Linked DNA regions of Cricetulus griseus. The protein of the gene in region 4 interacts with the protein of the main gene of each other region in a pairwise test. Links are inferred from orthologs where the notes say so. Each region holds a gene or a part of one and is shown on either strand. Other genes may lie near its edges.

The links.
Region 1: the proteins of protein N-terminal glutamine amidohydrolase (region 4) and Gmds interact in binary tests that used the Homo sapiens proteins (3 or more experiments, as listed by UniProt). The two-hybrid records come from large-scale screens. The link is inferred for Cricetulus griseus from reciprocal best matches to the Homo sapiens genes NTAQ1 and GMDS.
Region 2: the proteins of protein N-terminal glutamine amidohydrolase (region 4) and Rpia interact in binary tests that used the Homo sapiens proteins (3 or more experiments, as listed by UniProt). The two-hybrid records come from large-scale screens. The link is inferred for Cricetulus griseus from reciprocal best matches to the Homo sapiens genes NTAQ1 and RPIA.
Region 3: the proteins of protein N-terminal glutamine amidohydrolase (region 4) and Pts interact in binary tests that used the Homo sapiens proteins (3 or more experiments, as listed by UniProt). The two-hybrid records come from large-scale screens. The link is inferred for Cricetulus griseus from reciprocal best matches to the Homo sapiens genes NTAQ1 and PTS.
Region 5: the proteins of protein N-terminal glutamine amidohydrolase (region 4) and Gas7 interact in binary tests that used the Homo sapiens proteins (3 or more experiments, as listed by UniProt). The two-hybrid records come from large-scale screens. The link is inferred for Cricetulus griseus from reciprocal best matches to the Homo sapiens genes NTAQ1 and GAS7.
Region 6: the proteins of protein N-terminal glutamine amidohydrolase (region 4) and Nudt14 interact in binary tests that used the Homo sapiens proteins (3 or more experiments, as listed by UniProt). The two-hybrid records come from large-scale screens. The link is inferred for Cricetulus griseus from reciprocal best matches to the Homo sapiens genes NTAQ1 and NUDT14.
Region 7: the proteins of protein N-terminal glutamine amidohydrolase (region 4) and Kctd9 interact in binary tests that used the Homo sapiens proteins (3 or more experiments, as listed by UniProt). The link is inferred for Cricetulus griseus from reciprocal best matches to the Homo sapiens genes NTAQ1 and KCTD9.

The regions. Positions count from the first base shown.
Region 1 is NC_048596.1:252,836,242-252,839,741, forward strand, and holds part of Gmds (GDP-mannose 4,6 dehydratase), read right to left. Parts: intron 1,868-3,500; coding exon 1,763-1,867; intron 1-1,762. UniProt on the Homo sapiens protein: Catalyzes the conversion of GDP-D-mannose to GDP-4-dehydro-6-deoxy-D-mannose.
Region 2 is NC_048601.1:62,432,077-62,436,040, forward strand, and holds the start of Rpia (ribose-5-phosphate isomerase), read right to left. Parts: upstream 2,801-3,964; 5' UTR 2,763-2,800; coding exon 2,499-2,762; intron 1-2,498. UniProt on the Homo sapiens protein: Catalyzes the reversible conversion of ribose-5-phosphate to ribulose 5-phosphate and participates in the first step of the non-oxidative branch of the pentose phosphate pathway.
Region 3 is NC_048597.1:162,282,810-162,287,093, forward strand, and holds the start of Pts (6-pyruvoyl tetrahydrobiopterin synthase), read right to left. Parts: upstream 2,801-4,284; 5' UTR 2,723-2,800; coding exon 2,643-2,722; exon of another isoform or gene 2,523-2,642; intron 2,437-2,522; exon of another isoform or gene 2,077-2,436; intron 1,801-2,076; exon of another isoform or gene 1,090-1,800; intron 861-1,089; coding exon 781-860; intron 1-780. UniProt on the Homo sapiens protein: Involved in the biosynthesis of tetrahydrobiopterin, an essential cofactor of aromatic amino acid hydroxylases. Catalyzes the transformation of 7,8-dihydroneopterin triphosphate into 6-pyruvoyl tetrahydropterin.
Region 4 is NC_048603.1:29,479,147-29,482,646, forward strand, and holds part of protein N-terminal glutamine amidohydrolase, read right to left. Parts: intron 2,471-3,500; coding exon 2,371-2,470; intron 995-2,370; coding exon 944-994; intron 1-943. UniProt on the Homo sapiens protein: Mediates the side-chain deamidation of N-terminal glutamine residues to glutamate, an important step in N-end rule pathway of protein degradation.
Region 5 is NC_048600.1:81,542,711-81,546,210, reverse strand, and holds part of Gas7 (growth arrest-specific protein 7), read right to left. Parts: intron 2,736-3,500; coding exon 2,620-2,735; intron 1-2,619. UniProt on the Homo sapiens protein: May play a role in promoting maturation and morphological differentiation of cerebellar neurons.
Region 6 is NC_048598.1:181,120,708-181,123,132, reverse strand, and holds the end of Nudt14 (uridine diphosphate glucose pyrophosphatase NUDT14), read right to left. Parts: intron 820-2,425; coding exon 579-819; 3' UTR 501-578; downstream 1-500. UniProt on the Homo sapiens protein: Hydrolyzes UDP-glucose to glucose 1-phosphate and UMP and ADP-ribose to ribose 5-phosphate and AMP. The physiological substrate is probably UDP-glucose. Poor activity on other substrates such as ADP-glucose, CDP-glucose, GDP-glucose and GDP-mannose.
Region 7 is NW_023276807.1:222,713,853-222,717,988, forward strand, and holds the start of Kctd9 (BTB/POZ domain-containing protein KCTD9), read left to right. Parts: upstream 1-1,336; 5' UTR 1,337-1,443; coding exon 1,444-1,491; intron 1,492-4,136. Other genes in the region: Cdca2 (cell division cycle-associated protein 2), read right to left, coding at 39-102, 586-672. UniProt on the Homo sapiens protein: Substrate-specific adapter of a BCR (BTB-CUL3-RBX1) E3 ubiquitin-protein ligase complex, which mediates the ubiquitination of target proteins, leading to their degradation by the proteasome.

The DNA.
Region 1 (3,500 bases), on a different chromosome or scaffold from region 4:
TGGACAGGCAGACAGAATTACTTCATAGCACATATGTAGAGGTTAGAGGACAATGTTTGAGGGTTAGCTCTCCAATGTGAGTTCTGGAGGGTCAAACTCAGGTCTTAAGGTTTCTACAGAAAGAGCTTTCACCTGCTAAGTTATGGTTATGCCCAAGATTAAGTCTAACGAACACTTAACAGACACCTACATTGCAGAATGACATACAGGAAAACTATCTTTGCAGGTCTGAAAGCATGAAGAACATTTCTGGGCATGTTAATAGCGACTCTGGTGACAGGAAACTTAATATAAATGAGGTAAGGAACTTTTTTTTGACCTCCTGCAACATTTTAATTTTTTCTTTGAAATTCACAAATAATTACATTTTAAAATTCAGAAAACAATATTAATGAAAAAGGCTTCATTTACAGAGTACAAATAGAGCACTGGCAGAGACATTATATTTAAATTATCTTTTTACTGTATAGCCTAAGATTGCTTTTTCCTCTCTTAACCTGACTTACAGCAATTAACTTTTACTTTTTTGTGGAAGGGATAGGAGGAATGGGTCAGGTTGAAGAGGAAAAAAATACAGAAATCCAACAAAACATACAAACATGCTTGTGATAAAAGAGACAGGCTTACCATCAGCAAGAAGATTCCTAAAGTGGCCCTACACCCACCCCACCCTGTCCTGCTGCACACACCAGATGCTGCAAGGGAAAAAGAAAACCCTCTTATCTTTCCACATCCCCTTACCAGCAATACCCAGAACATAAAATTAATTAAAGAAATGGTGTGTGTGTGTGTGTGTGTGTGTGTGTGTGTGTGTGTGTGTGTGTGTGTGTTATCAGAGATGGGAAGTTGGCATTCATGCTTTAACAGCCCGTCATGGGAATTGTTAACTGAAGCAATTATAAAATAAAAAATATGTGATGCTAAAGACACCTTTATAAACCTGTCACTTTAATCTTTCTCTATGATTTGTTGGCTTAATTACTTGAGTATATAGTCACATAAAATTTCACTGAAATAGTTATGTCTTATTAGTTATTGGGCAAGAAGCAATTTATAAGTCTTCTTATTTATTCTTACACTCTAAGACTAAATGGCCATTCAATTTAATAAAATGTCTTTGATTTAGATTATACAAATAATTTTTACTTTGAAAAGAATGATATTGTGGGTTCTATTCCCATAAGAATACACGTAGCTTGGTTAATATTTCTCATGTTTAACTAAAACATGAGAAACTAAATATTGAAAACAGAAATATTGCCAATAGTCTCAATGATAACTAAGCCCATGCAAGCAAATAAAGTTTTCAGGAAAGCAAACAAACAAAAACAATAATGCTTAAGAACTTATTTCAAAATGATTTTAGAGTATCTTTTAGAAACAATCATTTCTGGTGTCTCTCTAATGGAATGTAAAGGGAAGAGACTTACTTTTCAGCTGGTTGAGTCTAGGTAAACAGTAATGAGTGACAGAAACCACCAGCAGCTTTTCTCATTCTTTGCATTCACACAGAAATTTGCCAATACTTGGGTTGAAAACTACTAATGAAACTAGTAAATTTGGCACACAGTCCAGCTTTTCACATAGAATTTTTCTAAAGTTCTTATAAATTAAAGCTGGTTTATATTTCTTCATTTACCACAGACATTTATAACATATGTAGATGTTAACTCATTCAACCTATAGAATATCAACAGAATATACATACACCATTTCCTGTGGTTAAAGTCTCAAATTCTCCTTTGATAACATACTCACTGACCTCTTCTAGGACTCTCATGATTGAAGAGAATGCCGTTCACCGCAAAGAGATTATAAGCCTCTCGAAAGTTCACTACAATCCAATAGGCATAAAGTTTGGCTGCTCCTGTTGGAATAATTTTTTAAAGACAAAGTTTACTATAAAGGACTGTGCTTTTCATTCACCTTAATCAGTAATAACTGACAAAATGTCATTTATAATGCATTAAAATGGCTAATATGAATCACAGGACAAAACAAACATTGTGTGTCAATTAATCATATGCATTAGAAATAAAATTCCTTAATTTGCAACATTCATAATTAATTCTTTTACCATCTCATTTATTCAACTATACTATACAATATATCAAGTTCATCTTTCTTAGCTCTCTCTGTCTCTCTTTCACTGTGTCCATCTCTGTCTCCCCAACTCCCTCAAATGTACACGCAGGTGCGTGCACGCACATACACTTTTAGATAATGATAAATAATTATCAATAGAGAATTTAAAATGGCTGAAAGACACTTAAGAAAGTGCTCAACATCCTTAGCTATCAGGGAAATGCAACTAAAACAACTCTGAGATACCATCTTACATGGGCCAGAGTGGCTAAAATAAAAAACATCAATGACAGTCTATGCTGGAGAGCATGTGGAGAAAGACGATCACTCCTCCATTGCTGGTGGGAGTGTCAACTTGTACAGTCACTTTGGAAATCAATATGGCGACTCCTCAAGAAAATGGGAATCAGTCTACCTCAATATTTAGCAATTCTACTCTTGGGCATATACCCAAAGAATGAACATTCATACAACAAGGACATATGTTCAACAAAGTATGTTGTTTGTAATAGAACCTAGAAGCAACCTAGATGCCCCTCAACCAAAGAATGGATAGAGAAAATGTGGTACATTTACATAATGGAGTACTACTCAGCAGGGGAAAAAAATGAAATCTTGAAATTCGAAGTCAAATGGATGGAACTGGAAGAAAATATCCTGAGTGAGGTAACCCAATCACAGAAAGACAAGCATGGTATGTACTCACGCATATACGGATATTAGATATAGAGAAAAGGACTACCAGCCTACATTCCACACCACCAGAGAAACTAGGAAACAAGGAGGATCCCAAGAGAAAAACACATGGTACCCCAAAGAAGGGGAGTGGGACAAGAACCCCTGAGCAAATTGGGAGCATGGGGGGAGAGAGGAGGGAGGTAGGAAGAAGAGAAGAGGAGGGGAGAAGAGAACAAGAGGGATCAGGAAGACTGAGACAGGGGAGGAATAGAAGAGGTCAAGAAAGGAGATACCTTGATAGAAGGAGCAAGTATAGGTTTAGAGAGAGGTCTGGCACTAGGGAAATGTTCAGAGATCCACAGGGATGACCCCAACTAAGAATCTAGGCAGTAGTGGAGAGGCTGCCTTTGATGCCCTTCCCCTATAATGAGACTGATGACTACCTGCTTGCCAACCTAGAGCCTTCATCCAGTAGCTGATCGAAGCAGAAGCAGGCACCCACAGCTAAACACTGAGCCATACTGCTGGAATCCAGTTGTAGAGAGGGAGGAGGGATGAGCAAAAGAGCCAAGACCATGCTGGAGAAACCCCTAGAAACTCCTGACCTGACCTAGTGAGAGCATGGAGACCCTAGTCATAAAGCTGGGGAAGCAGCATTGGACCAAATCAAGCCCTCTGAATGTGGGTGCTAGGTAGGAGGCCTGGGCAGGCTATGGGACCTCTAACAATGGACCTAG
Region 2 (3,964 bases), on a different chromosome or scaffold from region 4:
AAATGACAGAGGCAGGAGTCTGTGCCCTAGTCCAACTAGAAGTGGCCAAGGGCTGCCTGCAAACTAGCCCAACAGCTGACAGCCCTTCTAATGGGCAGTCCTAAACAGTATAGTGTCCAATGGGGTGATCTCAAAAATCTATGAGATTGGCTCTGGTGGGTTGGGGGGAGGGGCGGGATATGTGATGAGTCTGGAACAGTGTGTTAGTAAAACAGGCTTTTATCAGACTGAAAACACAGAATTCGATAGGTGTGGTGGTCCACACCTTTAATTCCAGCATTTGAGAGTTAGTGGCAGGCAAATCTCTTGAGAGTCTGAGGGCCAGCCTAGTCTACATAGTGAATTCCACAGCAACCAGGGCTATCTAGTGAGACTGTCTCAAAAAACAAACTACCAATGTTACTACTAATAATAATATTAATACTAGTGTCTGCTCACTAGTTTCCTCAAGCTAAGCTGATCTCAAAACAAAGCCGAGGCCTCACAAAGAGCAAAGGATGAAGCAACAGGCCATGAGGACAGCACAGTAACACATCCAAGATAACTACATTTTTAGAATCAGGCAGGTCTGGACCTGGTTGCAAAGATTCAACTGAGAATTCTGAGTTTTCCATCTACTCTGAAGTAGAAACAGTCAGCGGAGATTGGGGAGACTGGAAACCCCAAACTCAGAGAGCCTAGGAAAAGGGCCTCCATAACCCACAACCACCATATCAGTGTTCACACTCTACACAACCCAATGAACATTGCCTAAGCAGGTCTCACTGTACCCAACACTGAATGTGCAGATAACGATAAGTCTCCTCCCAGAGCTCATGGGGAGTTAGGCAAGAGAAATGCACAGAGGACTAGAGCATAGGTCACAAGTGTCTGGAGTCATAAACAATTGAAGGAAGCTGAGTGTAGCACCACATACCTATAATGCCAGCACTTAGGCGGTAGAATCAGAGCATCTAGGTATGTGGTGGTGCACACCTTTAATCCCAGCACTCAAGGCCAGCGTGGTTCACATATCAAGTTCCTGGCAAGCTGCTAGTCAGCCTGAGTCTCCAAATAGGAAGAGGAAATTATCTTCTAGTGTCCTTAGGAAGCCAAGGGAAAACTGGAAATAGTAAAGACCTTTGAATCAAACCCTACAGGACAAACAACCCTATTTGAAGACATTCCCAAAATTCAATAGAGATCTCCCAAGGATTCTCTGGTAATTCTTTGAGTATAGCTAGAATCCAGTGTTTGGGGACTCTAACATGAGATGAAAGCTTGCAGATTTTAGTTTAATCAAATACGTAACTATAAAACAAAGGTCAGGGAGACATGTGCCACTAAACGTTAAACGATAGCTTAGATAAGGGGCTCTCCTAAGGTATAGATTGCATTTACCAATCTGTTAAGTCACTTCATGAAGGTATTTTGAAATTTCACTTTACGTTCCAGTTTTACAGCTGTGGCACCAAATTCCAAACACAAAGCCAAATCACTCATTTTACGTTCATACTCATATACCCTACACCCTCTTAAATCGAGTATAAAATCCTATGCAAACTAAAGGAGCAAAGAGCTACACCAGAACAGAAGAGCATAGAAACCCTGCCTGAAACAAGAGTGGTGTAGAACAGACTGAGCCAGAGGTTATCAGACCCGGACCCACCCACTCAGGCCGCCCTCACGCATGGCAGGAAGTTAGAAAAATCTCTAAGAACATCATCTTTGCAAAGCAGCTTTGTGCAGCATAACACTAGCAAATGGAAAAAAAAAAAAAAACTTCCTTTTATGCAGAAATGGATTCTGATAACCCTATCTAAGAAGCAGAAACCGAGACCAGGAAACTCCACCACAGGGCTGCAGAAATAATACAGTTAAGATAATTAACCTGCTACACTGAGAGTCCACTCATAGCACCACACCTGCCACTTAACAAGCCAAATGGGGACGCAACCTGACTGAGTAACTGTTAAACATCTGGACTCCACCTGAAGAACACCACTTCCAGGTGTCGTGTCCACCCGGCCCTGTCAACAGCAAGGCTTAACTTGATGGCTTCTTTGTAAAGATTGCACTCAAGTTCCCAAGCAGGAGGAGCTGAAAAGCTTGTTTGGAGTAAAATTTCAAAAACTCTTTGCAAACCAGTTCTCCAGTGGCTTTCCGGAGAATGAGAAGTGAAGAACTCGAGGCAGCCTCAGGGCTCACCATTTTCAATGGGCTGACTAGGAAGGAGGCAGGCATTAACAACCTGACAGACTCTCAACAGGGTAATGCCAGGCTCCTCGGTACACTCAGTTGCAGCCGGACAGGAAATCTTGGTGGGGTGGGGGGCTCTATTTGGGGGAGAGTTGGCACCTACCAATTCGACGTCTACAAGGCCTTTCAGGGGTTGGGAAGAGCAGCGTGTATTCGGATACAAGGCTCACCCTCTCCCTCTCCTGCTGCCGCCCCCCTCCCTTTCAGGCGTCAGGCGTCAGGCGCAGCACGAAGCCATCACGCCGCCACAAGCTGCCCACCTTCACGTGGTTCTCCACCGCCGTGTGGCTCGCCAGCTTCTTAGCCTCCTCGGCCTTGGACATCGTGGAGGGGGCTGGGCCGCCCGCGCTCGAGCCTCCCTTGTGGCCGTGGGTCTCAGACTGTGCACGCCCCGGCAGTTGCACATGGGAGCCCGAGAGGCCCCAGTTGTTCCCGCCCCCGCCCGAGGCCGCGCCCCCGGCCCGCCCGGGCAGTGGGGCCAGGACCCGCCCGTAGAGGGTGCTGAAGGGCCCGGGGCGCTGCATCCCGCCACCTCGCTCCAGCCTCTGCGGCCGCCCCGCCCCCCGCGCCTCCGGAAATCGGCTCGCTCGAGCAACCTAATCCGCGCGCATTGCTGAGCGCATGCTGCTGGGAAATGTAGTCCCGAGGAGTCAGCGGCCTCAAGCCTTGAGGCAATCTGGACTACAAGCCCCACAATGCGTGCGACCTAGCGAGCAAATCGCCCGCCTTGACTCCCGCCTTTCTGTCCGGAAGGTCAGGATAGCAGCTGTCTAGAAAACCAACAACTGTCTGCCCTGAGGTAAAGTGTTTACACCGTCAGGTGAACTCCGAGAACTTTTCTGGCTGTACACGCATTCAAAAAACAGTGCAAAAAAAAAAAAAAAAAAAAAAAAAAAAAGGAGAGACCTGTTGAAAACCTGACTTTGTTTTCCCCAGAAACTCAAGTTCTAACAACACAACTTTTTTGTGTAATTGCATTTTATTACTTAAGTTGTACTTTGTGTGCTTGAGTGCAGGCTTGTGTGGGTCATAGAGGACAACTTGCAGGAGTCCATTATCTGACAACTTGGGTAGTGGGAATTGAACACCTATGTCAGTACTTAACTGGCTGAGCCACCTCACCTCACAACAAGATTGGCTCCTTGGTGACATACACTTGAGACTCCCAGGCCTTCTGAAGTCTGCTAGACCTTCACAAACCCAAGACCACAAGTTCAGTCGGTAGCCTTGGATTATTGTTCTGCTGTTGGTATTGGATGGCATGGTGTGTAGACGGAGCCTGGGTGTTCACACAGGCCAGTGTGCCCTCTAGAGATCCCGCAGTTCTTGATGATGAGGAATTTTAAAACTCAAACCTTTGGGCCTCCTCTGCCTTTAGTTTGCTGCAATGTAAGGGTGAAGAATTCTTATCACCACCTTTTACAAGCTGGAAACTGGTGCTAAGCCTTACTGAACACTTGGAAGTTCTTAATCTCTTTCTACAGCCTCACTAGCCTGTACTCACTGTGTAGCCCAAACTGGCCTGGAACTTGGACATTCTGAGCTTGGATTACATGAGTATGTCATCAAATAGAGCTGGGAGCTCTTTTTGTTGGTTTTGGGGTTTTCCAGACAGGGTTTCTCTGTGTAGCTTTGGAGCCAGTCCTGGCACTCTGTAGACCAGACTGGCCTTGAACTTGCAGAGATCTGCCTGCCTCTGCTTTCAAAGTGCTGGGATTAAAGGCGT
Region 3 (4,284 bases), on a different chromosome or scaffold from region 4:
TAGGAGGCATCTCAGACAAAAGAAGAGTCAGGAACTAAACCAGAAATCGTGACCTCCCAAAGTCTTATGTAACCCTAACTCAAGGCACACTACTACATTCTAGGGCTTAGGTATCATGATTTGAGGCACCAGGCATGTCTCAAAGAAGAATGTCCCTTTTCCTCCCACAAACTACTGTCTTAGAATACTGCCTGCAAAATTTTATATATAAACTATTTTCTGCCACACAGTACATCCCTAAGCAACAGACCCTTTTCATTTGGTCATTTTTTTACTCAAAATAAAATTTTTTAGTTATTTTGCTATGAAGGGTTTTTAATTTTAAATTTTAACTGATACAATAAAAATATTTTTAAAATCTACATATAAAGGGATATTATTTGGTGTCTCAATCCATATATACATAGTTTGATGTTTAAATCAAGTTAAACATTATGTTTCCTCAAACAGTCATTATAATCAAATTTTAACATTAGTTTCAGCCTAGCCTAATTAAAAGGAAACAGCTAACAGCAGTTTTATTAAGCATTCAAATGTCAAAGAAAATGCTTTAAATCATTTTGGTTGCTGTTGTTTTTTACTATCTTTAACAGAGTAGACAACTCTGAGGCAAACCATACACTTACCCATCCAAGACAATAGCTCTTTGTCTTGAATTTCCACTGGAGGGCTCAAAGCACTGACATTGTCCACAAGGCTTCTCATTCATGACCCCTGTACCTACATTACACACACTTCATTCTTACAGACAGGTTAGAAGTCACTGTGCTCTTCCCTCACCTTTATAGTTGTGTCCATGGCCATTCGGATTGTTGCATTTCCCAAACACTTTCAAGTTCTCTTCATCACTCAGAGATGGGCTGACGAAAGAAAGACAGAAGGTCACTGTGAGCCAGGAAGACATCCACATTCCTCTGTTAGCTTTGCTCTGGCTTTTGAGAACTCTACAACTTAACTTCACGTTAGATGATCAACCAAAGAGATCACTTGAATTTCACTATCTATCCACCTTTCCATCAAGAACCAATGCACACTCCCTAACGAACAAAGTACCACATAAAATTATCAAAAACTTTGATTTCAACTCACCTATTTCACAGCAAGAATCCAACAAATCCTCTCAGTCAGCCCTTGCTCTCTGCTTTCTCTCTCTCTTTTGGCAAGGTCTCCTGTATCCTAGGCTGGCCTCAAAGTCACCATGTAACTTAGCATGGCTTTGAACTTCTGATTCTCTTGCCTCTGCCTCACAAGTGCTGGGACCTGGTAACACATACTGACTTGTGCAGGGCAGGGGATGGAGCCCTGGGCTCACACTAGACAAGCACTCTACCCACTGAGTTACATACCACTTCCAATTTTCAATTCAAGGAACACTGAGTATTAGCTATGGGATAAGAGCAGAACAAAGCAGGGAGTAACGATGATAAACAGGAGAGATACTTGTCCCCCCAGCAGCTTAAAAACCGAATTTCTCCTGGAAAACAATGACCCCAGGCTCTTCTTTTAACAAGCTCACTCTTCTCTGTCTCAACTATTGCCTAGTGGAAACCTTACCAGTATGTTCAGGGACACTCAAATCAGGTGAAACTTCAAAATTATTTCCAATAGCTGTCATTCCAGACAGAAAACAATGTACTCAATGAATTTGTGTATCTATCCCAACTCAGCCAACTCCTTATCTTCTGCACCCTTACTAACCTCATGCTTAAGCTTCCCACTATAAAAATCGTTTTGAGGGGCTGGAGATGGCTTAGCAGTTAAGAGTGCTTACTGCTATCGAAGAGGACCAAGGTTCAGCTCCCAGTGCCCACATGACAGTTCGCAACTACCTATAACTCCAGTTCCAAGGAATCTGATGCCCTCTTTTGGCTTCCAGAGGCTCCTTCATGTAAGCTGTTCACATAACACACAAGCACACACAAACACAATTTTAAAAAAAATTAAATTCTTTAAGATCTTTCTTATCCCATTGACTTTCTCCTTCTGCTTACACTTACCAAGCACTACAGTTCACAAGGCTTTGCAGAAAATTATCTCACTGTACAAAACATGGCCACCATTTTAAACTCTACATACCGGGCAGTGACAAGTATTTGGTATTCCCTTCAATATACCCGTCTCCTAGCACGGAACAAAGCATTGTCCATTAAGGAGTGGAAGGGTGCTGTTAGAAATGACTGTTCTCTCTCACAGACAAGGAAATGGAGGTTCAGAGAGTAGACCTTCTAGTGAGCAGAGAAGCTCCCTTCAAAACGAAACTCAGGTGCGGAGTTGGGTATGTGGGATTCAATTCCCGACCGTGCTGTTTCGCTTTATTTTATTTTTTAAAAGGGTCGCGGGGAGCTACCATGTGTTGCACCCGATAGCAACATGCTCCTGTCACTGTGCCTTCAGGATGCTCTGGGTGAGTGGCAGGACTCTGAACTTGGGGCAGCCCCCAGGGGACCTCTCCAGAGTGGAGCCTGCGGGATCAGAGCTCTACCGCCCTCTCCCGGGTGAGGCCCAGTACTGCGGCTCCGTACCTTCACCATTTCCTCTTCCGCCCGCCCCAGATCGGCTCAAACCCACGCGTGTGGCCACGCCCCCGAGGACGTAGCGGGAAAAGCCCGGCACTTGCGGTGACACACGTGGTCACACCCCACCTGTGCAGCCGGTGGCTCGCACTGAAGGACACGAGGCGTGACAGTCGCGCACGGCGGCGAAAGCCACCCGCCACGCTCATGTCTTCAGGCCAGCTATCCGGGAGCGACCAGCGCTTCCGGCTTCCCCGGCCGAGGCCAACACCTCCCTCCGCGGCTGCGCAGTGCAAGCTCGGCCCTCCCCGCCGGAAGCGCTCCTCCGGGGTGGTTTCGGCGCTTGGTGCACGTCAGTCCGCATGGATGCAGTCTCTTGCACCTCCTGCTGTTCAGTCTTTGCTAGACAATCAGAAATACCCTGGAGCAGTGAGTGGATGGGAGCCAGAGGCCTGGATTTTTAAATTGCCCACGATCGTTGTGTCTTCCCCTTTCACTACATTTGTGATAGCTCTGGGTTAGAATTGGAAAAGGCCAGTGGCTGGGCACCCTTATCAGATGCGCTCCAGCCCAGTACCACGTTGAGAGTGTCCTTAAAGGAAACCCTAGCCAAGGATAACAGCGCATTGTCCTCCGAATTACTCTGGTGTCTGAGCCCGGAGGATTGATTTTAGGAGTTCCGGTCTACTCTAGGCAGCATAGTAAAACAGTAGCTCAAGTGGAAAATAAAGGAAAACGTTTGACACTACAATTGGCAGGTGAGAGAATGTCATGCAACGACCTTCTCAAACCAGACTCAGGCCTGAAAACAGAGTCACCCTTCAGAACCCTCCCTCAGCCTTAAGGAACAGCCAGTCCTGGTTTTAGATCGATGGTTTTCAGTGCTTAGAAATGAAAAGGGCATTAAGGTGTATCTTTGTCTCAGAAGATCAGCGTCTACTAAATGCTGTCAGAGAATCAGATGCAACATATATCTGTAATTCTCGCACTGGGGCTTGAGACAGGAGGATGGTGAGCTCAAAGTCTATCTCAAAAGAATAAAATCCTGTAACTAATCCAAATGGACACCTTTGGCAAGGCAGCCCCCACAGCCATCAACCATCCACTCATCAAATTAAAAACTTAAATTTAAAAAGTGTTTACCTAAGATCTAAATACCAAATGCCTTAAGTATCAGTCACCTGAACCTCAGAACAACAAAATGGTCCCTGTCCTCTGAAAGTTCAGTTTAATGGGGAGTCAAACAAGTAATATGACAAGGGAAAGGTTACTAATTATCTCAGAGGGTAAAAGAAAGCTTCTGAGAACAAATTGTTCTGAGCTGGGTTTTATGGAGTCCAACAGATCGGTAAATAATAAATTCCAGGAGGAAATAGTTTAAGCAAATGAAATGTGGAAGTGTGGCTTGCTTAAGGCATAATGACAAATTCTTGGCTACCTTGGCATGCAAGAAAGAAACTATACTGGAAATATTGACTGCAGACCAATTAGTTGAAGCATTATGAGTGTTCGTTTTCTTCTTCTTCTTCTACATATAGAGGAAAAGAGGCCCCACCTTTTTATTCCCCTCTAATTCCTCTCCAAGAGAAAGGAATTTCCAACTGCTTGAATAACATTTTCCTGTACAACTGAGTCCTGCTTGTTCAGATAGTGGTGGCTTACTCTCTGGAGCTATGCATACAGGAAAATGAAAGAAGAAAACTCAAAGCCCAAGCTCTCCACCTCACCAGTCCTGGCTGTCTTCCATTCTGTTGTGGCTGTGGAAAGCTAA
Region 4 (3,500 bases):
CCTGCCTAGCTACTGGCTAATCAGCTTTTTATGACACCAATCACAGCAATACAGCTTCACACTGTGTACAGATAGCCCACAAGTCTACCAACCCTACAGTCTACCAACTACAGTCTACCAATCCTATAGCCTACCAACTACAGTCTACTAATCCTACAGCCTACCAACCCTACAGCCTACCAACTACAGTCTAAACTACAGTCTACCAATCCTACAGTCTACCAACTACATTCTCCAATCCTACAGCCTACCAATCCTACAGCCTACCAACTACAGTCTACCAACTACAATCTACCAACCCTACAGCCTACCAACTACAGTCTAAACTACAGTCTACCAATCCTACAGTCTACCAACTACAGTCTACCAACTACAGTCTACCAACTACAGTCTATTAACTACAGTCTACCAATCCTACAGTCTACCAACTACAGCCTACCAATCCTACAGTCTACCAATCCTACAGTCTACCAATCCTATGAGGAAGGCATGATGGGAGTGACTGTTCATGGCAGCAGGAATACGAGACAATTGTTCCTCACATGACAACAGTCTGGGAGAACACAGGCTATAACCACAAGTAGGTACAACCTTCAAGGCCCATTCCCACTGACACGCTTGTACCAGCCAGGCCTCGGGTCTCAGAGGCTCCACAACCTCACAGAATAGATTCACCAGCTAGGGACCAGGAATTCAGACACAGAAGCCCGTAGAGGACTTTTCACACACAAACCATTATAGATCCCAAAACAAAAGTTAGACAACTATATGTCCACAGAGCTTCTGCCACAGACAGAATAACATCCATTCTCAAAAGATCCTTTTACTAATGACTGTCATGGCCTTTCTCTAGAGTCCTTTCAACTCTGCTTCACCACAGCATACTGGTTACTCAGAGGCCACAAGGAACACTGCATCAGAGGCTCTTAGGTGGCCAGCTTACCCAGATCACAGGTCCATTCCCAGGTCTTGCCTGCTGTTTCCAAATAGGTACCTACAAAACAGAGGACATTCGTGAGTCTCATTCAAACCCGTCTAGATTCTTTATACCACCAATACACTAGTAAGTAATAAACTATTCCTTAGTGGACTGGGGAGATGGGACAGCAGATCTCACACACTGGCCGCTCCTGGAGAAGACCTAGGATTGCTCCCAGCACCCACATGGCAACTCACACACTGGCTGCTCCTGGAGAAGACAGAATGCTCCCAGCACCCACATGGTAGCTAATAGACATCTCTAACTCCAGGTCCAAGGGATCCAAGCCCTTCTTCTGGCCTCTGCAGGCACAGTGCACACAAGGTACACAGACCTGTATGTAGGCAAAGCACCTGTAAACATTTTAAAAAATTAGCCAGGCATAGTTGCACATGCCTTTAATCCCAACACTCAAAAGCAGAGGTAGGTGGTCCTCTGAGTTTGAAGCCAGTCAGGGATACATAGTGAGACCCAATTTCAGGATAAATAGATAAATTAAGTTAAATTCTGAAGTCAAAAACGTTTCTGTTTCTAAGCAATCAAGGTGAAAGAATAAAATCTAAACCCTACGCGCAGGCACCCTGCACAGTGAGAGTTCACAAGAACTGAAGATACTGCAGTGTTCTCCAGAGAGCAAGGGGCCTGCACCAGGAAGCAGAGGCCAGGCGGGGTCAGTCCTCAGTTACTCATGAGCCCTCTCTGCATCTCATCTTCTTCACGGATTAGGTGGAGAAAGTTAGCAGGTCACGGAGGCTCGTGCCTGAAATCCCAGCCTCAGCTATGTGATGACTGTGAAGCTAGTGGGCTGAGATACATGCGACCCGTCTCCAAAACAAAAGTAAAGTCAATAAAGTAAAACAGAGAAAGTCGTTTAGACCCTGCCTATTTCATAGAACTTCTAAGAGCCCCGAATGAGGCAACGTCCACAAAAGTGTTTGGAAATCCCAAAGGGCTACTTCTAATGCTCCCTGAAAGTTTACTCCAGCTCTATTCAAACTTCAGACACAAATCTTTACTTCAAATCAGAGTTATATGGCTTAATTATACAATTAAAAAAGCCCCAAGCTAGACACAGAGCATGCCTATAAACCCAGTACTCAGAGGGTCCCCACAAGTTTGTGCCCAGCGTGGTCTACACAATGGGTTCCAGGTCAGCCAAGGTCTACACTATGAGACTCTGTTGCAAAAAGCAAGTTGCTTGTGCATTCTACATAAACATGCCATTACATACTTCATTACCTACAAGCAAGGGACCAAATTCTCCTGAACCAAATCTAATGAAGAAAAAGAAAGCTGTTTGAAAGGCTGCTGTTACAAAGCACATTTGAGAACAGAATAGCTTCCAGACTGCGCTGAGCTTCTGATGTCACCGCCATCACTCACCAACTTACCATCTTCTTCTCATTTGATATGAAGACAGCGGAACACTCTTCCAAGGGATACTGGTCATGGGTTTTGATGTATTCACAGAGCTTCCAAATGTTCTCCTCGCTAAAATAAAATAATTGTTTAATCCATATCATTGGAAAGGACCTTAACCACCTCATCAGAGAGCTGGGTAACAGTGACTCTCCTCTAAGGCACAGTCAACAAGCTGCTAGCCAACCTGTACTGTGCACGCATCCAGACAGAGGACCACACCCACTGAAGACTATGACCTGTAAAAGAGTGTGCCAGGATTCCAGAAGCTGAGAAACCATTGGGATCCAAACTCAACACTAACAAGAAAAGCAGCTTTGTATTCTGTCTTCTCTAAGAACCGCTTGTCTCCTCTATAAAATGCACGTTTTCACGTACACCATAACCCTCCAGAAATCCCAATTAATAGAGAAATGTCACAGGACTTTTTTGTTTGGTTGTTTTGGTTATCAAGACAGGGTTTCTCTGTGTAACTGACCTAACTATGCTGGAACTCTCTCGGTAGACCAGGCTGGCCTTGAATTCAGAGATCTGCCTGCCTCTGCCTCTGGAATGTTGGGCTTAAAGGCGTGCACCACCACCGCCAAGCTCTTGACAGAATGTTTTAAATTAGATTTGATATAGAATTTAGTCCCTTAGTTGTAGCTGACAAACTATATGATGGCATCTTTATGCAGACTGCGTCCCCTCCTTCCCTCCCTCCCTCCCTCTCTTCCTTCCTTCCTCCCTTTTTGAGACAAATGTCTCATAATGTAGACCTTGGCTGACCTGGAACTCGATGTGTGGACCAAACTGGCCACAAACTTGTGGTGACCTTTTGAGTACTTGTGAACTACAGGCACGCTCCATGTGTGGTTTAGAGCCTTGTTAATTGCATAATTAGAGACAGACAGACATGAGAGACATACATACACACACTACATACATACATGCATGCATGTTTCCAAGCACTCAACGTCAAGGTGAAGGCGTGTGAAGCCCGCTCCTAAGCGCAGGCACCCTGCACAGTGAGAGTTCACCAGAACTGAAGATACTGCAGTGTTCTGCAGAGAGCAGGGGGCCTGCACCAGGAAGCAGAGGCCAGGCGGGGTCAGTCCTGTCC
Region 5 (3,500 bases), on a different chromosome or scaffold from region 4:
GCTAAAGCCCAAAGGATGCAGGGGTCGTAGAGGATGATCATGAGGACCTGCTGCAGCCTCTGCACAAATGCTCACCCCTCACTTCTGACTGGAGCCTGTCTGAAAGCTCCTGGGTTTCACACTAACCCATCTTCGTCCTGTCTTTGCCTCCATTCCCAATTACGTAGACCCCTACCATGCAACTTCAACCTGGGGCCAAGATCTCCAGAAAGCAGATCTCATCATGCCACAAGGCCAAGTGTGAGTGCCAGGAGAAGGAGGTGCACACGCCATCTGCCTCCTGAGCCTCTGCTGTGAGGCAGCCTGTGTCATCTCTACCTCCTGCCCACTTCCCTCAGCCCAGCAAACCCACAAGTCCCAGCCCTGCAGCCTGGCTCTCCTGTCTCTGATAGGCTTCCCAAGAGCTCCATATGTGGGCTGAGAAACGTTCCAGGGATTTGAATTCCCTCTGCTGGCTCCCAGAGACCTCAGTGGCCGGAGATGACAGAAACCATTCATTTGCCAACAGGACATTGTTATGAGTGTAAACCATATGCATATTGAGGCTTCAGCTCCTATTGCTTCCTATTTTTCTGTTTTATGCTTCTGTTTTCTTGCATCTGAACAAAGCAGCCTTCCAATTTCCTACTAGTTTAATGGGTCATAAAATAAAGATTTGATTATACAAATGGAAAATGGGCCTCCTAAGGAAAAACGGGCTTTAAAAACGCCAGAGCATTATTACCCGATTACTAGTGTTATAATGAAGAAATACTTTTAAAAGATCTTTGTTATTTGCCATGAATATTTCCAGCAAGTCTTGGAAACTCTGGCTGGAAAGCTGTGTATATGCTTTGTGAAAAAAAATGTGTTGATGGGGGGTGTGTGTGCGTGCAGGTGTGTGGGTATACAGATGTATGGGTGTGTAAGTATGCAGGTGTGTGGTGTGTAGATGTACAGGTATGTGTATGTGTGTGTGCAAGTATACCAATGTGTAGATGTGTGCACATGTATGCAGGTATGGATGCACAGGCATGCGGGTGTGCAGAAGCATACATGTGCAGGCGTGTGTACATAAAGGTGTGTGAGTGTACAGGTGTGTGGCTGTGCAGCTGCCTGTGCACAGGGATGTGGGTGTGCAGACACTTGGATATGTAGGTGTGATGGATGTGTGAGTGTACAGGTGTGTGGGCATGCAGACATGCAGGTACACAGGTATGCAGTCACATGGGGCCATGGGTGTATAGGCATACAGGGATATAGGGATAGGGGTAAGATGTAGGGGCGTGTGTGAGTCCAGGTGCCCAGGTGTATATTTGTGTGGGGATTTGATTCATGGCTGTGTAGGTACACAGATATTTAGGTGTTAGAGCATGTAGAGGCTAGAATGTGTGGGTACGCAGATGTGTGTGTGAGCAGGTGTGATGGTGTACAGGTGCGTTTGTGCACGGGCATGCAGGTTATGCTGCAATATAAACAAGAGAGACAGAGAGGAGAAAGATGGAGAGGGGACTTCTCTGCAGCTCTTCATGCTTTCCATGAGCTCAATGTATTACTTCTTTATCTATGACCCAAGCTCTTCAGACACAGGGCTATTAGAATCCATAGAGGTAGGGGTGGGGTGGAAGGATGGTTCTATATCTCTTGGCCTGGGAAACAGTTTTAATTAAGAGATGGCCTGGAAGGCCAGGAGTAGCACATACTTCTAGTTCCAGTACTCAGGAGGCAGAGGCAGGTGGATCTCTGAGTCCGAGGCCAGACTGGTCTCCATAGTGAGTTCCAGGTCAATCAGGGTTACACAGTGAGACTTTGTCTCAAGAAAAAAAAGAAGACTTGGAAGATCATGTTCCTCTTCTTGATTATGACAAGGGACAGCTTCAAATGAGGGTAAAGGAGTACAGTGGAGAGGAATGGAAACTGTGACAAATAGGACACATACCCCATCCATGGGTAGCAGCTACTCCACTCTAGCCTCTTGTTGTATAGGGGCTATGCAGGTATCAAGAGATACTAGGCTTCCAGGATCTAATGCAAAACGTGTGTGTGTGTGTGTGTGTGTGTGTGTGTGTGTGTGTGTGTGTGTGTGTGTCCCTCCCTCTCTTCTCTCTCCTCCCTCTCCCAATATGGAGAGAGAGAGAGAGAGAGAGAGGAGAGAGAGAGAGAGAGAGAGAGAGAGAGAGAGAGAAGGGGAGAGAGAGACCTCAAGTAGCTCAGACAAGTCATAAACCTGTTACACACTGAGGTTGACCTTGAACTCCTGACCTTTTTTTTTTTTTTTTTTTTTTTTTTTTTTTTTTTTCTGAGACCAGGTTTCTCTATAAAACAGCCTTGGGTGTCCTGGAACTCTCTCTGTAGACCAGACTGGTCTTGAACACACAGAGATCCACCTGTCTCTACCTCCTGAGTGCTGGATTCCTGACAGTCTTTCAACTCCCAAATGCTGGGATTAGGAGTACAAAGGGTATGAATATTTTTGGATATTGTTTCAAATCTTTAGAAACATTTTCCATGCTACACCACACATTTGTTGGCCACGTTTTTTCCCAGGGCTAAGCATGACCATCCATCCACTCCCCTGGGGTCCAGGGCTCAGAGTGGGCCCTGTAGCCAGCTCCAGGACTGCTTGGGCCTTGGTCTCACCTTTCCCGGATGAACTCGGACATCTCCTTCTGCATCTGCTTGCCTTTCAGTTGCTTCTGCAGCAGTAGTTCAAACCCAGCCACCGTACCATTGCCTTGTGGGTCCTTCTTATCTGCCTATAAAGAAACAAAAGACCAAGTCATCGGGAAGTGGGCTGCATCTCTAGATCCCTTCCAGATTAGACCAGGGAGCCTCTGAAGCTTACAGAATGGAGGGAGAGAGGGAGGGACACACACACACACACACACACACACACACACACACACACACACACACACACACACGTTTTGCATTAGATCCTGGAAGCCTAGTATCCTTGATACCTGCATAGGCCCTATGCAACAAGAGGCTAGAGTGGAGTAGCTGCTACCCATGGACATATGTCCTATTTGTCACAGTTTCCACTCCTCCCCACTCTCTCTCCACTTTACTCCTTTACCCTCATTTGAAGCTGTCCCTTGTCATAAACAAGAAGAGGAGCATGACCTTCCAGGTCTTCTTTGTCATGCTGTCTCAATATAACCCAAACTAGCCAAAGAAGGGCTAGAGTGGCTCCCCAGGATGAACAGTGGGCAGGATCACATGCTCTGCCCAGCTCCACAAGTTCCTCATCTCCTCTCTAGGACATGTCCTGGTCCCTAGAGCCCCAAGGAAGACTTCTGCACAAATGGCAGCCACTCATTATTTCTGCTGCTATCACCATTCATCCTGGTCCGCTCATTCACCTCTCACCCTCCATTCCCATCTGAATACACACAGAGCAGGTCCCACCCAATTTTCCTTTAAAACTCTTCAATACCCCCCCTACTACAGACAGCAAAGACACAACTTCCTTTAGACCTACAGAATCTTTCCATCTACTTACTGCCCATATGACACTC
Region 6 (2,425 bases), on a different chromosome or scaffold from region 4:
CCCCACCAAAAACGACTGCCCTAGATGCTCATCATAGCCTAGTCTTCAGACATTGCTTGTGTCCTGCAGGCCAAGGGAGACGACCGCCACTGTGGCCCATGAGTCATGGAGAGGGCACTGGAGAAGCCAGATACGAAGTATCCCTGGCACTTGAGTTCCTGGGTGGTAGCAGTGTGGTTCTAGCCCAACCCCAGGCATGGCAGGGACCCTGCATCTGCCCAGATCAGGGAGTACACACTGTCTGGAATTGGCAGTACGCTCAGTGTCTACTCCTGCATATACAGCTCATGCTGTGCGCAGTGTTCCAAGACTGAACATTTAACCTGGGCCCCTCCTGAGCTGTCTACTCCACCTGACAGCATCCCAGACAGCCATCTGCCTCCCGTGCATCCACTTACAGAGTCTGAGGAGGAACAGAAGGGTTTGTATGGAGACCTTGCTACCCCTGAAGACACTGTTCCTCACCCCAGGTCACAGTGCTCAAAGCCAGTGGCCAACACTGAAAACTATAAAACCTTTATTGAGTGTGCGGGTCAGGAGGCTGAGTGGATGGGACAGGGCTGTGTAGCCCCAGGGTCTCACTGGAGATTTAGGTGGGGAGCCACCTGGCTAAAGAACCAAGAGATAGCAAAGATGACACCGAGAGTCTTGGGGATATTCGGATTATCCGCAAAGGCCTGGGCATCATCCAAGTTCAGATGTATGACCTCTATGAGCTCTCCCTCCTCAGCCAGGCCTCCACCAGGCCCACCTCGCTGGGCATCTGTCACCTCCGCGTAGAACATGGTCTGCTTGGAGCCAGTCAGTCCTACTCCAGACCTGTCGAGTAGAACAGGAAATGCTGACGCACCACGGTGACCCTACAGTCACCCTGCTTCCATGCTTCTTTCTCTGGCTTTCTGATGGGCAGAGCTCTGAGTGGCTTCACCCTTCCCAAATACCACGCCTGATGGGTACATCCATGTGATGTCTGCCCCTAGAGTGGAGGAACCTGATGAATGTTGGGCATGCCTTCTGTCTCTGGCCTGCCATGTGGCAGAGGTGGGGGGGTCTGACGCCAATTAGGTAAGGGACATAGAGAGCACTAAAGTGATCTTTTTTTTCCTTTTTTTTGGTTTTTCCAGACAGGGTTTCTCTCTGAAACAGTCCTGGCTGTCCTGGAACTCGCTCTGTAGACCAGGCCGGCCTCAAACTCACGGAGATCTGCCTGTCTCTGCCTCCCAAGTGCTGGGATTAAAGTGTGCCACCATTGCCCGGCTCGCTGAAGTGATTTTTAAGGTGAATTTAATGATTGGGCTAGAGAGATGGCTCAGCCACCAAAGGCTAGGCCCGCCAGCAAACTGTCAAGATGAATGACAACTGACATTTAGGGAAAAACACAACTGTCAGAGGCCTCTACGTATACCATGGACCCAGGACCCTACTCGGCTACCTGACTGAATCCCTCCCAAGGGAGAGAGATACCTGGGTAGGCCTGGCCTAATCAGATGAACTCACAAGACAGATACAAGCTCAAAATCTGAGAAGTCCGATACTCCCTGCTAACAGAGCAAGCTGCTGCACTGTAAGGAGACACATGGCAGGGACCTGCAGGCATCACTGGAGTCTAAGAACGGTTCCTGGTCAACAGCTAGTCAGGAAATGGCCTCTAACCAATAGCCACGAGGAGCTGGTCTGCTGCCTTTGCACCTGGACCGATTACAGATGTGGCTGGCAGCCATGAATGTGGCCTTTGAGACCCTGAGTGGAAGACTGAGGACCCTGGATGTGGACTGGGTATGCAGAAGCCACGAGGCCATAAGCAAATAGTACCAGAATAGATACTGTGATAGGCCCTTAGAACCTCCTCAGGCCCCTGCCCATTGCTCCTCCTGGGCACCCAACGAGGGCTTCTGCTAAGACCCAAGCCAGCCTGGCCCACATCGGGGGAGCCATGGTGTGGTAGTGGGAATCACAGGGTCTTTATATAAAGGACAGATTCCAGAGTTGGGGGATCTCGCAGCAGGACACATCATGGAGGCAGCAGAACTGGGAAATACTCTCAGCCTCCCAAACCCCAAAAGGAGGACCCCACCTCCATCCAAGACAGACATGCCCAGCTACTTCTTTACCCCCACCTGATGGCCCATCTTCCTGGCAGTCATGCCCTGCACCTGTGACTGGAATCACCCAGTCTGTGCAGCCTCCAGCCTCCGGTTCCCTAGCTTATAAGGGAGACAGCTTCCAGCCTGTGGACTGGTCATGCTAGAGGCTGCCTCCAGCCTCTGCAGGCTCTAATCTCATTCACACAGCAAGGCAACAAGAGGGAAGCCCCTTCCTTGGCTACCTTCCCTGGGCCTAGTCATGTATGACTATCAAGGGAGTGCACTGGCTTATGTCTGGTCTTGGACAGGGAGCCATTAAGTGGGTAAGGCTCTGGTCTGTT
Region 7 (4,136 bases), on a different chromosome or scaffold from region 4:
ATCTTCCATCTAACGAGGGTAACAAGTCACCAACGTACCAGAATTATTAACGACACACTCCCTGGCTTCAGAGGGCTGCTTGTCGTGTGAACTTGCATCCATCTGGAGATGGGGGAGTTAAAGACAAGAATAAAAAGTGAGAAATAATCCCACTACATGTAAAAAAAAAATGCGACGGAACTCTAACGAAATCCGTACTAGGGGTACACCTTGGGAAAGAATTCGGGGCGTTCTGGTGGAAGAAGTGCTATTGACTACACAATACTGACAAGTTGGGGCTTTTCATCCTTTGATCCCGGTCGGATAACAGACGTACCTCTCCCGCCCGAGGCCCGCAGGTTCCCACAGACGACGACGACAAGCGTCACGCAGGATTCACTTCAGAAAGCACCAGAGACAGGCTCAAGAAATGACCCGGGTGGGCCTCCTGCAGGCCGCCGCACGCCTGGACACACCACGTCCTGGAGAAGCGAACTAGCCTCACTACCCGCCAGCAAATTCAAACTGAGGCCACGCCCCCGCGGAGGGATCTCTGCGATTCGCAGCCTACGTGAGAGAGAGCATCCCGCTCCCTCCAGTCCTCACCGTCACGCTCTCGGACGCCGCAGGGAGACCTTCGTGTATCCCGGGAGAACTACTGCCAGCCCTGAATGATCCCCTAGCGAGACACATCTGCGGCAAAATGGTGTCCTGGGGACTAGCTAGGCGTTCTGCGGAGCAACACATCAGTTAACTGATAACCCCGCCCCTAACCTTTGGATTGGCTGCTGCAAACTTCGAAAATGAATCATTAGACCAATCATGACATAACCGCAGGATGGCTAGTCTACCCATTAGCCAATCCCGACACCAGCCGTTACCTTGGTGGGTGGGATAGTAGGAGGGGTTAAAGCAGAGCAGGGCGCTGACTGGTATATGGGACTTTAGCGTCCGGCCTCTTCCTTAGACTCCGACTCTTTATGCAAATGAGTTGCCCCACACTCCTGCGTGCGCCTGCTCAGTAACGCTTAGAGCCACCCTTTGCCAGTAGGTTTTGCTCTGATTCGCTGATATTCCTGTCCGTCAACCAGTCTTCAGCCTCTCTTTCCTCCCTCCGCCGACTGGCGTTTGTCTGAGCCCACCCCTCTGCGGAACTCTTATTGGCTGAATGCTGGCCGGCTCCGAGCGTTGATTGGCCTTGCTCAGTGTCGGTCTTGGCGCGGTTGGGGGAAGGGCCGCTCGCAGGCTTAAGGAGCCTAGGGGCGGGGTGGGAAGGAGGATCGGCCAACCCCGGGGTGTGGGACTGAGAGTACGTGCGTGAGGAGTGTGGGGCCGACCAGGAAGGTGGCGAAGGGCGGAGAGTCCGGGTGGGAGGCGGGAGGGGTCTCGCGGGCGCGGAGCGCGGCGGGTGGCGGGCCGGGGGTGAGGGTGGCGGCTCCCTCAGGACCCGGCGCGGGCGGCGCGATGCGGCGGGTCACGCTGTTCTTGAACGGCAGTCCAAGGAACGGCAAGGTAAGCGGCAGCGGGGGCGCGACCCGGGGACCCCGACAGTTTCCCGGCAGCCCGGCCACCGGGGCTCCAAGGCTGTCACCTGAGCGGCGGGCCGAGGTCCCCTCCCACCTTCCCGCTGCACCCTCCTGTCCTTATCGGTGCTGAGTAATGCTCAGCCCCGGGGGGAGGCAGAGATCACCGAGGCGGGTGACCCTGGCCAGGTCGGGGGAAGAAAACTCCAGCGGACAGAGTTGAGTGACATCCTCAGAATAGGTACCTGGTCTGCAATGCTTCCCTTCTCTTTTAAGGTGCCCTGGCCCCCCTTCCCTGCCACTGTACAAAACTTTTGTACACGTTTTATTGTGTCGCCTTGTTTGGGTCACTTGGAGAACGGTGACAGCAGACCAGAATGACTTAATTTGACAGTAGCCTTAGCTGCGTATAGGCCTCCGTGGAGGGCGTGGTGCTAAATATTTTTCCGATGTTGCAGCAGCCTCTTGCCCCACCCTTGAAAGTTATTCTTTGGAAAATGTGGGCTGTTGCTGGCGGACTTGTAATGTGTGGTTAGATGACTGCCCCACACAGAAGTAAGCCTATTTAAAGTCTCAGAAGTAATGAAGCCTTTTAAAGTTTAAGTTCAAGGTACATTGGTCCCACTCTATTAATTGGCCAGAATACTCTTAAGTCCTACACGTATACATAGCATGGGGGGGTTTCAACTTCTCTGCAGTTTTGAATAAACAGACTCTGGAAAACTGAACCACAGTGAGGTTTGCTCTGCAACTTTGTTTTCTTAAAATTTGCTGTTCATACAAAAATAGTCTTGGCATAAGCTCTGCCAGTGCTTCAGAAGTATGTGCCGCAAGGGTTCTATGAGTTCTGATCATTAACTTTTCCTTAACCAACTCTGTAGTTGGCTGGTTTTCATAAAGTAAGTCTATGTGGTTATTGAGAGATTTGGTATATCCAGTATTGATGTAAACTTTCACCTGTGCTGGTCTATGTGTGGTACTCCATGAAGTCTCGTGGATAGAGGTCCTTATAAATCCTCAACTCTATGTCTTCTGAATCCACTGAAGCTTATTGTCTAAAAGTTAAGTGAGTTGCTCTTTGTGTATTATTTAATTTTTTTTAAACTTCTAAAAAGTTTTGAACTTTGGGTTTGACTGTGAGTTTCCAATTTAAATCTTATTTACTTAAAATCTTGAAATCTCAGATGATTGGGGAAAGCACATCTCAGATAATTGTATGTGCATAGATTTTACAAAGATGATAAAGTCTGAACTGAAGAATACTAACATTTAATAATTAAAAGAAACTATACCTAGTACTTTCTACTAAGCTAGAGAACATATGTTCTAAAGCTGTTTCCTCTCCTTTTAGCTGATAGAAAAATATTAAAATGACTCTTATTTGACAAGATCACCATACTGCCTTTATATGTACACAGATGGATATGTAGCATATACATAGCAACTATATTTAGTAAGGGTTGTCGTAAACATGACATGGATGCTCATTAAAATAGTCCTAAATGAAGTGCTGCTCTGAAATAGTTTGGTTTCCTGTCTGTAAAGTAGAATATATCATTTAGATTGTCTCCTTTCTTACCTAGTTTCTATTTTTAATCCCTTAGTCATGAGAATAATCTTCTCTTCCAATGAGTTTCCCTCTTACAGCTTGTTTTGTGGTTATGAGCTGTGAGGTGGAAAGGCACAGATTTCATCACCATGCATGAGGATAGCAACATGCATTTTCTGTTTGTGTAACTGATAAGTGCTCTCAATGTTGTTGAAAGAGCTGGTTTCTCCTAAGTAAAATGAAATATGGAGAGCAGAAGATGACCCATTGGGATTTAGGAAGGGATGTATGTTATTTATGTTTTTACTTAAAACAAAATAATTTTAAAATTTGGCCTTCCTAATCTGGAAAAGCATGAGGGCCTTTAGTCACTGAACTTGTCAAGCCAGTCTTGTTTTTTTCTAGAACACAGGCCTACACATGTAAATAGGTTGATAGCCAGTACCAGTTGGTTCTCTTTGACATATGATATATAGAAGCTTTTAAGTACATTGGAGATTTACATCATTCAGTCTTAATTGAATTAGCCATCAACTATGCCAAGTGACTAAAAGATTACTTCAAAGAAATTGCAGATTGAAGCCAGTATTAATTATGCAGGTACAGTAAACATTGAGAAAGTGGCAAAGCTGACTGCTTTTCATAGCATTGGCTATAAAGTTAAAATAATAATAATAATAGGATGTCAGAAGCCATAGAGTGCCATGTTTTAAGATATTATTTGAAATTTTACATAATAACTGCTGTTAATAGTCAATTTCTTCCTTAGGGTATATTGTTCTTTGAACGATTAGCCAGTGGTCCGAGGAGGTCATTCTAATTACCAAGATGTGAAAAAAAAGTATTTTCCTGTACATGCAGGCAAATGGTCTTGAGTTGTTTTGTTCTGTTTTTCCTTTGCCTTAGTTTTTAAAAACTTTTTGGCTCAGAGGTTAAAAGCATTGCACAAGCAGCTTGTGTGATTCCACCAGTAATTCCAGCCCCTGAAGGCAAAGATGAGGGATCCCAGGAGGAAGCTGGCTAGCTAGACTGGCCATGGTGGCAAACTCAAGGATCAGTTGAGAGTCCCTGCCTCAATGGATAGG